2 linked regions of the Coturnix japonica genome follow. The protein of the gene in region 1 interacts with the protein of each later gene in a pairwise test. Links are inferred from orthologs where the notes say so. Each region holds a gene or a part of one and is shown on either strand. Other genes may lie near its edges.

Region 1 (4,779 bases):
GGGCTGAATCCATGTCCCCTCCATGTGCAGGGACCTCAGGGTGCCCCCCAGCCTCCCCCACTGCCCCAAGGCTGCTTTGATGCTATTTGGAGAGCAGAGATAAACACACAGCCCCCCCCCCACACACACACACACACAACAGGGGGCAGGCAATAAGATAACACAGGCACTGCCCAGGCTGTAAGGCAGGAACTGACACCAATAGGAGCCCCATAATATCAGAGAACACATGGTAATGAAAGACCCCAAACTCTGCTTTTTCCTGCCTTACCTACAAGTGCTGAAGTCTGCAGCACCCAGTTCAGCTCAACCCACTCAGTTCCTACCTACCTGCCTCACACATGTGATGCTCCATCAACTCAGCAGGTAATTAACTAATTAGGGGGCAAACAGCTGCACCTGAGTGAACAGAGCTGAACTGGGCCCAGCACCTGAGGTCATGGAGAGTCCCATTGTGCCCATAACCACACAGAGCCCAAACACAAGCCAAGCTGTTGCTGTTGAGATCAGGGGTTTATTTACAGGTGAAGGGAAGCTCTCACTCAGCTCCAGGCGAGGAGCCAAAAGAAACAAACCAAAAAGGAACAGAGACCTTCATCTCTGAACAGAAATTGCTGCACCCCCCGGAGCATCCAGTTACCTCCGAGGGTTCCCCATTGCCATCACTCCTTTTTTCCCCTCAAGGGGGAACAGAAGCCATGATTTCAGTGCCTGCACCACTCAGCATTGCCATCCCATCAGTACTCATCCAACGTGTCAGCCCTGGGCACCGCCAGGCCTCTCTCCTTCAACGCCTGCACCTTCAGCTTCTCCGACTCCTGCTTGGCTTGCAGCTCCAACCTTTGCTCCTCCAGGATCTCCTCGATGGAAACCTGCTGCAGCAACGTGTCGCTCTCCTTCTCCAGGTCCTGCAAAGCAAAGAGCTGTTGTTAAGCAGAGCTGCAGGGTGAGGGGCTGCAGGGCACGGGGCTCACTCACAATCTCCCCCAGCAGCACCACGTTCTCCCCTCTCACAACGAAGATCCCTCGAGGGATGTCCCCATATTTCTTGCCCACGTGAATTCGCTCCACTGTCTGATGCAGCACCAGGTTGGCTGTGGGGATAGAGAAAAAAACACCCCGTTTTTAACCAGTTTTTTACCAAAACCACCCAGTTTTTCACCAAACAGAGCACCTCACCTGAAACAACCCATAGCCTAAAGCATAGGGAGCAGCTGGATTGCATTATAGCACTATAATCCTATATGCTGAGCATCCCCTAAACAACATGATCCCCCAAACCCAGCCACTATAGGACCCCAAAGCAGCCACTACCTATAGCTGATAAAGGGATCCCTGGTGCTATAGGGTAAAGAATGAGGGGCTCAGCTATAGGCACAAGTGAATGGGGAAGGGGGGAAAGGGGGGTAGGGAGAAGAGGGGTAAAGGGAGGTAAAGACTGGGGGGCTCAGCCATAGGCACAAGTCAATGGGGGGATGAACTTAGTGCTGCCCTAAGGGGGGAATATAACATGGGGTGGGGGTCCAACATGACAAGGGATGGGGGAACCACAAACTGGGTTCCTATCGGAGCCATATGGGTTCTATTAAGCCCTGATCCGGTGTCGTTCCCGGTGCTGCCCCCCCTATCCCCCCCCATTATATCCGTACCGAACTGATCGATGCTGCGTAGGAATCCGATCAGCGTCCGGCCGTCCCGCAGCAGAACCAGGTGTTTCTCTATGGGGAAAGGGATCAAGCGGGGGTACGGAACATCGGTCCCAATGGGAACCAAGGGGAAAACCGGGGTCCCCCGCGTCCGGGTCCCGGTTTTCCCCTTGGTTCCTTATTGAATGAATAGAACCTCGGTCACACTCACTGTCAATGTCCTGGATGAGGCTTGCAGTACCCGGCATGTAGTTCATGGTGGCGGAACCGCCCCACGTTGGGCGGTACTTAGCGATGCACTGTCCCTTTAAAAGCGGCGCCGGTAGTGCGAGCGGGGCTGCCTTTCATTGGTTACATCCAGGGGTCCTCGCATCCTATTGGTCGCATGGTGGGGGCCTTTTATCCTTGTGTCGCGCTGTGGGGTGGGCTACAGCGTGCCGGGTTGAAAACATGGAGCACCGCGGTCGTACCGGGCAGGTAAAGGGGGGGGGGGAACCGAGCACAGCCCGTTATCCCGTTATCACTGCTCCATATAATGGGGTTTTTCCTTATAGGAGCCACCAGGCCCCGGCTTCAACCCCGGTTATTGGAGCCCAGCGTTCGGTTTTGGGGCCTACACCGACGGAGCGGACTCGGTATGTTGGGTTTGGGGGATGAGGGTCCATTTCCATCCCCCTCCCGTCCATTAAGGCTTTGACCGAGCTGTGCTTCATTTCTATGCCATAGGATACAATGGGCTTCAAGCCCCACTTGTTTCCTACAGCTCAGTACAGAAATAACCCATTAAATATCCTAACACACATTTCAGCTCATTTTCTTTCTCTTTTTCCCTTTTCTCCTCCCCAGGCTATGGACTCACCCTACACCAACGGATCCTACAGCGCCCCATACCCTCCCCATTACACCTCACTGCCACAAACACGAACCTACAGCACTTCAGGTCCATCCTACAGCACCGACAGCTCAGCCCCATATCGACCCCCCCCTCCTGCCCCTCCCTGGGGCTGTGGCACACAGGACTGCCCAGCAGAGGGATGCTCAATGCGCAGGCAAAAGGCTGCTGGGTATTCCCCACCGCAGGTAAGAAACCATTTAGGGTGTGCACAGCAAAGCGAGAGCTCCTGTGCTGCTCACCCCATAGAGGGTGAACCCACAGTGCACCCTAATTGGGCCCAAATGGCTTCTATGTCCCACCCAGCTCGCCCTGCTTGCTCTTGTAAGAACTTGGAGTTGCCCCTTTCTGCTGGGAGCTCTGAGGTCACGAGCTTTGGAGCAGAAAGCAGCAGCAGTCCCAGTGCTGGGGCTCATCCCAGTGCTGGGGCTCATCCCAGAGCTTCCTTCTGCCACAGGCATTGGGAGCTGACTTAGGACTTACATCTGTCCCCCTCTCCCCACAGACCCCAGGGATGCCCGTTCCTCAGTATCCATATGGAGACCACAGCCCCGGGGCCAACCCACAGCCCAGGGCTCAGGAGGAGGCGTGGGCTCCCCCTCACTATGGGGTGCAGGCACGGTATGCATGGCCTGCAGCTCCAGCACATGGGAATCCATTCCTCTCTGAATCACAACCACCCTGGACTGGCAGCAGGACTGCAGCTCATCCTCCTGTGTGGGACTCGAAGGTACAGTGATGCTTTAATGGCTCTGACACAAAGATTCTGGCTGTAGCCAGAGCTCAGCTCATGCTGCCTTCCCCCGCAATACACACATGCAGCTGCTCAGTGCTCCTTTCTCCAAGCACAGTTTGCTTCCAGGAGACAAAAACAAAGCAGCGGTTCTAAGTACTGCCAGCAAAATCACCTGCTTATATATCCAAACTGCCATTGAAGAAAGCACTGGAGATAGCAGACCCTGAGAGGCGGGTCTTGAAGTGGAGCAGATCTCATTTAATGCCTCTGTAATGTAGACTCTTTTTTTTCCCCTTCTGATTGTAGGAATCTGCTTATGACAAACCTGATCCGAGTGCAAACCAACACTGCTACTATTCTGACAGCAATCACCAGCACCCTGGGACAATGAATGACCACAAACCACCCTCCCTGCTGCATAACTCCAAGTCATCTCCCTCCAACCCCAAGGTACAATACAGTGCACAGCCCCAGATGTACAACAGTGCAACTCGGAGGCAGCTGGCTGGGAACCAGGAGGCAGGTTGCAAAGCTGGCAATCACACTGCAATGAATTCTGCAGCCATCCAGCCAGAGATACAGAGGATCCTACAGGTCACAGAGCAGGCTGAAGAGTTAGAACAAGAGGTGGATGAATTTGTAGGGAAAAAGACAGATAAATCCTACAGGCTTCTGGAGGAGATGCTGACCAAGCTGCTGTTAGAACTGGATTCCATTGAGACTGGTGGGCAGGATGGTGTCCGACAGGCCAGGAAAGAAGCTGTCCATAGAATTCAGGCCATACTGGAAAAACTGGAAAGGAAAGGATTGTGAAAGCAAATCAGCCACAATGCAGCCTGTTGTGGAGGTTCCAAAGAGTTAATCCAAATCTCAGCTCTTTCTGCTAAGCACTACTGATAATGAGAAAGCAATAAGACTTGATTGAAAAGAAGAAACAACCCTAAACCCACAGGAAAGCCCAGCCCCGACCAACAGCTCAGCATTGGACCAATGAAGAGAAGATGAAAGCAGCAAATTGAGTTGTTTGCTCTGGGATGTGAAGAAGCAGCACCACCTGAAGGTGTTTAGCACTGGGTTGTCTGTGTCCTTCATCCAGCAAGAAGAAAATCACTGCACAAAGTTCCCCAAACCGGGTCCAAATCCACCCAAATCCATGGTACCTCGTGGAGCCACAGCTGCAGCACTTGTCACATGCATCACCATAAATGAAGGTCCATCAGTGCGTGTGCTTTCAGCTTCAGATCCCTTACCCACAAAAGCTGGTTTGTGTCATCCCGGGGTTCTCTTTTTGTTTCCAATGCGCTCCCTGTAGCTCTGCTGATGTGAAGCTGTTCTGTGATGCCGTGTGGATGTGGGAACATAGCCTGGAACTCTGAGTTTTTCACCTGGAAAAGCCAGTTGCAGGCAGAGCCGTGCAGCCCTGGACAGTGGGAGGTGCAGAAAATGCTTTTTCAGGTCGCGTGGGTCAAATCCACTTTTTAATTGTAACGCCTACTGGGTGAACC
Region 2 (4,057 bases), on another chromosome or scaffold:
AGATAAACTTGTAACACAGTTTAATTTTTTTAGGTATCTAAAGGAATTTAGGACAGAGCAGTGCCCTCTATTTTTGCAGCACAAGTGTACCCAGCACAGACCATTTACCTGTTTTCATTGGCATTTCCTAAATCAGCGTCGTCGTAGACCTATACGAAGGCGTGATGGAACTTTTAACTACAGTCCCGATGTTTATTGTACAAAATATGATGAGACTACAGGAATCTGCCCAGATGGAGATGAGTAAGTGATTTCTTTCAGTCCTGGGGTGCTTACAGTATTAATGGCTTTACAGAAAGATGGTATTTTTGCTTTTTCTGGGCAAAACTGATTGATGGGATCCTGCAGTTTAACTGAGGAAACTTTTTGTGAGTCATTTGTGAGCCTTTGGCATGTATGCTTTTATACAAACATGTGTTCTTTAGGCTGTCATGGACTTAGAGCTCTCTTATTGTTTTGTGACCGTTTTGAAAGCAGAATGTAAGCAGTTTATTTTCTCCTAGTGCTGTTCTTGTTGTCCCTGAACGTTTTTTGGCAGTTGTGATGCATTTTTCTCCTGACAGTTTTGAAATTGTATGCGCAAACTGCTCTGTGTAGGGGCTGACGGGCTGTAGAGGAGAAGGATTGTTTTATGATGGCTCTGTAGAGAGAAAAAAAGGATGTTTTTCACCCAGAAGGTGGTGATGCACTGGAACAGGTTGCTAAGGGAGGTTGTGGATCCCCCACAGGATCCCTGGATGCATTCAAGGCTGGATGTGGCTCTGAGCAGCCTGGTCTGGTGACTGGTGACCCTGCAAATAGTGGAGGGGGTTGAAACCAGATGAGCACCATGGTCCTTTTCAACTCAGGCCATTCTATGATACTGTGAAGGAGTTCTTATATCGGTTACCTGGGTAGACCATTAAGGTTTGCTTTTCCACGGACACATGTCTCTTCTAGGTAAGGCCCCAGATGACATGGGAAAGGGGTGAAGCTTTGTGATGATGAGAGTGAGCAAATATATAGTATGGCAAGAAGGCATGTATAGGGGAACTGGGTATATTGCGGTCATATAACACAGAGGAGCTGGCTTCATCTGCAGGGATGGAAGCAAGGAAAGACTTGCACAGGAAAAAAAAAAAACAAAATCAGAAAAACAGACAGGAAATATGTAGTTATGCTGCTCACCTGTTTTAAAATGTGAAGACAGTTATTTTGGTTCTTGCAGTGTTTAGCAGCTCTTATCACAGATCAGACATCTTTTTTGTTCCAGGCTGTAGTCACAGAAGGTGGATTTTCCTCCCAGGAATTACAAACTAAACAACAGGTGACAAGTGAAGGTAAACAACAAAGAAGTCATAGGCAGCACGGCGATATTTAGAACTACGCCCAAGCAAAATAAAAAGCAAAAAATATCTTTGGGGATGATATAAAAGAGAACAGTTATGTACCTTTTCAGGTGTTTGTAACGCACCTGTGAACGTGAGCAGTTCTTGCTTGAATATCAACAAGAGGATAAGGGATGTTCTTGTCATTTTGTTGACTGGGGACAAAAATTAAAATTAACTTTTCATTATTGAGTGATAGTGGTACTAAAGGAAGATAAAGAAAGCAGGCTTTTAAAAGAATATTAGTTGAGCAAGTTTGCACTGGTAGAAGCAAATAAGGGGATGCTTCAAGAGCTGAGAAGCGAGATGAAAGCTCATGCAATCTTTTGCTGTAGCTGTAGATGGCATAAATGGTGAGTCTTAGACCAAACAAAACATAAGGCTCTTGTGAAACAGCCTGTATTTCTTTATCAGCTTGTTCTTGGAATCTGTTTTGTCTTTATGTGGGAAAAATTGTGACCTGAGTATTTTTCCTTCTCACTGTGCATGAAAGGAGTTGTGTTTTGTCTGACAAGATATTTGAATTGAATTCCATAATTCTCTCTTTTCAAGCAGTAATTTGAATGTAATCAAAGGCTTTAACATTTTATGGGGCATCTGCTGATTGGTAATTTCTCTAGAGAAAAAGCCCAGACATCTAATCAAAAATGCTGCCATCCATTAAGGGGCCACTGACACAGAGCTGAGCAGTGAGGTGTAAATCTGAACACTTTGGGATGGGAGGCATTTAATTCTTGTTTTCCACAGGAACCAGCAAAATTAAACAGATGAAAATGGAGGAGTGAGCATTAAACCTAAGACTAAGAAAACATTCACACCTATGTAGTGTGCATATGTTATAATTGGTAATGAACACTCTGCCAGTATGTTTTCCCACATAACTCCCGCACAGATTGTGCTAGTGGTGGGAGAGCTAGCAGCAGTCAGCATTAGCTCAGATTGCAGCTTCATTTGTTTCGAGTTCAGTGCAAGTCTAGAGTCTGTCTGAGACTTCTGGCAGCCCTAACGGGTTCCTCATTTTTCTGTATTAGTAGATCAGTTCTAGCAGAACAGGAAGGCTGCACAGTGCTGCTCATACATTGCAAAGCGTTTCTTAAGAAGTTCATATGAGTCACCGAAATGTCTCCAACAAAAATTGCAACTGTCTTTTCACACAGAAGCAGGAAATATGAATGAACTGCATCCAGATCTTGGTTGTTGGTTGTGTTTTGTGTTACGCTGAGAGTGAGATGTAGCACTGAATTTGGTATACTTAGTCTTCTCACTAATTGTGTTGGGATTTAAAGAGGTAAAAGTAAACTCACTGGCTGCAACCCGTTTTTAATGGCAGCAGGACCAGCACAAGGAGATGTCGCAAAAAGAGCAATGCTTCCTATCTCCAAAGAGCCAGGCTCACAGAAAAACACTGCAGCAAGAGATCCTTCCTCAGGGGCAGTCAGCCCTTAAGTGAGGTCTAAAGTCTTCCAATTGCACACGTTGAATTGCAGCATGTGCTTCCAGGGCTGACTGGGTCTCTTCTTCCAGGTGCTCTGTCAGTGGTTCAGGCTGTGACTCAGCAGTTCCCATGCACCATTTATCTTGATTAGTTGTTTGTTATGAGTTAATGAGAGAGCATAATTCAGAATTGAATGTTTAAAAATAAAGCAATGCTTAAACTTTCCTCTTTCTACAATATAGTTGCCCTTACCTACATCGAACAACAGGAGATACAGAAAGGAAATACCATCTCAGATATTACAAGACTGGAACATGCATTCATGAAACAGATGCCCGGGGTCACTGCGTGAAGAATGGGATTCACTGTGCCTTTGCTCATGGGCCGCATGACCTCAGACCTCCAGTATATGACATAAGGTAGTCTGTTTCAATTTCTGCAGCCTGTTAAGCAGTAAATACTATGTTTGTTACTACTACATACCAGAAAACGTAGCGTGCTTTGCATGAAAAACATGATTTCATCTGTAACTACAGAATATAAGAATGCATTTTACTGTGCATTAAGATAGCAGATGTAAGCATGTCATATGTGGTGGTACAATACTAGTAATGAATAACATGTACAGAATGTCAGTGTATTAGCACACCGAGGTACAATGCTGGTATAAATATTGACTGTATATGTAATGCCAGCATTCCTTCACGTGTTCTCTTTGATTAGTCTGACATGGTTATTCCTTATGACTGTCCGCTTGCTTTTTTATTCCAATTTAGATTTGTTAGAAGCTATATTAAACGATAATTTTTTTATAAAATAGGCCAGGTTTTTAGTAGGACAGGTAGGGTTATTTTAGCTGTACAGTTTTGCAGTGTCATTTTCTTTCCCCATTCCAGAGAACTTCAGGCACAGGAAACTTTACAGAATGGGCAGCTAGGATGTGGTGAAGGCATTCCTGATCTGCAACCAGGGAATTTAGCAAGTCAAGCAATGATTGAGAAGATCCTTAGTGAAGATCCAAGATGGCAGGGTAACGTTACCCTGTCTCCTTTCTCTGTTTCTTCGATGTTGTTTGATCCAATTTGTTGATCCTGGGTCTAAACTTGGGAGATATTCAGAAGTCTTTTTTGTAATAGAGTAAAAAAAATGGTTTCTGTAAGTAATAAAGATATTTGTGAACAGTTTCGTACAGTCTATGATATTTATATTGAGAATGTAAATTGAAAATGTTTTGACAACGTTCTGTCTTTTTCTG

The links.
Region 2: the proteins of BAG4 (region 1) and UNKL interact in binary tests that used the Homo sapiens proteins (3 or more experiments, as listed by UniProt). The link is inferred for Coturnix japonica from reciprocal best matches to the Homo sapiens genes BAG4 and UNKL.

The regions. Positions count from the first base shown.
Region 1 is NC_029537.1:3,644,942-3,649,720, forward strand, and holds the start of BAG4 (BAG family molecular chaperone regulator 4), read left to right. Parts: upstream 1-1,901; coding exon 1,902-2,123; intron 2,124-2,200; coding exon 2,201-2,281; intron 2,282-2,492; coding exon 2,493-2,726; intron 2,727-3,043; coding exon 3,044-3,268; intron 3,269-3,580; coding exon 3,581-4,087; 3' UTR 4,088-4,779. Other genes in the region: U6 snRNA-associated Sm-like protein LSm1, read right to left, coding at 738-908, 979-1,094, 1,650-1,718, 1,858-1,903. UniProt on the Homo sapiens protein: Inhibits the chaperone activity of HSP70/HSC70 by promoting substrate release. Prevents constitutive TNFRSF1A signaling. Negative regulator of PRKN translocation to damaged mitochondria.
Region 2 is NC_029529.1:7,300,973-7,305,029, forward strand, and holds part of UNKL (putative E3 ubiquitin-protein ligase UNKL), read left to right. Parts: intron 1-33; coding exon 34-243; intron 244-1,252; exon of another isoform or gene 1,253-1,319; intron 1,320-3,044; coding exon 3,045-3,221; intron 3,222-3,698; coding exon 3,699-3,832; intron 3,833-4,057. UniProt on the Homo sapiens protein: May participate in a protein complex showing an E3 ligase activity regulated by RAC1. Ubiquitination is directed towards itself and possibly other substrates, such as SMARCD2/BAF60b. Intrinsic E3 ligase activity has not been proven.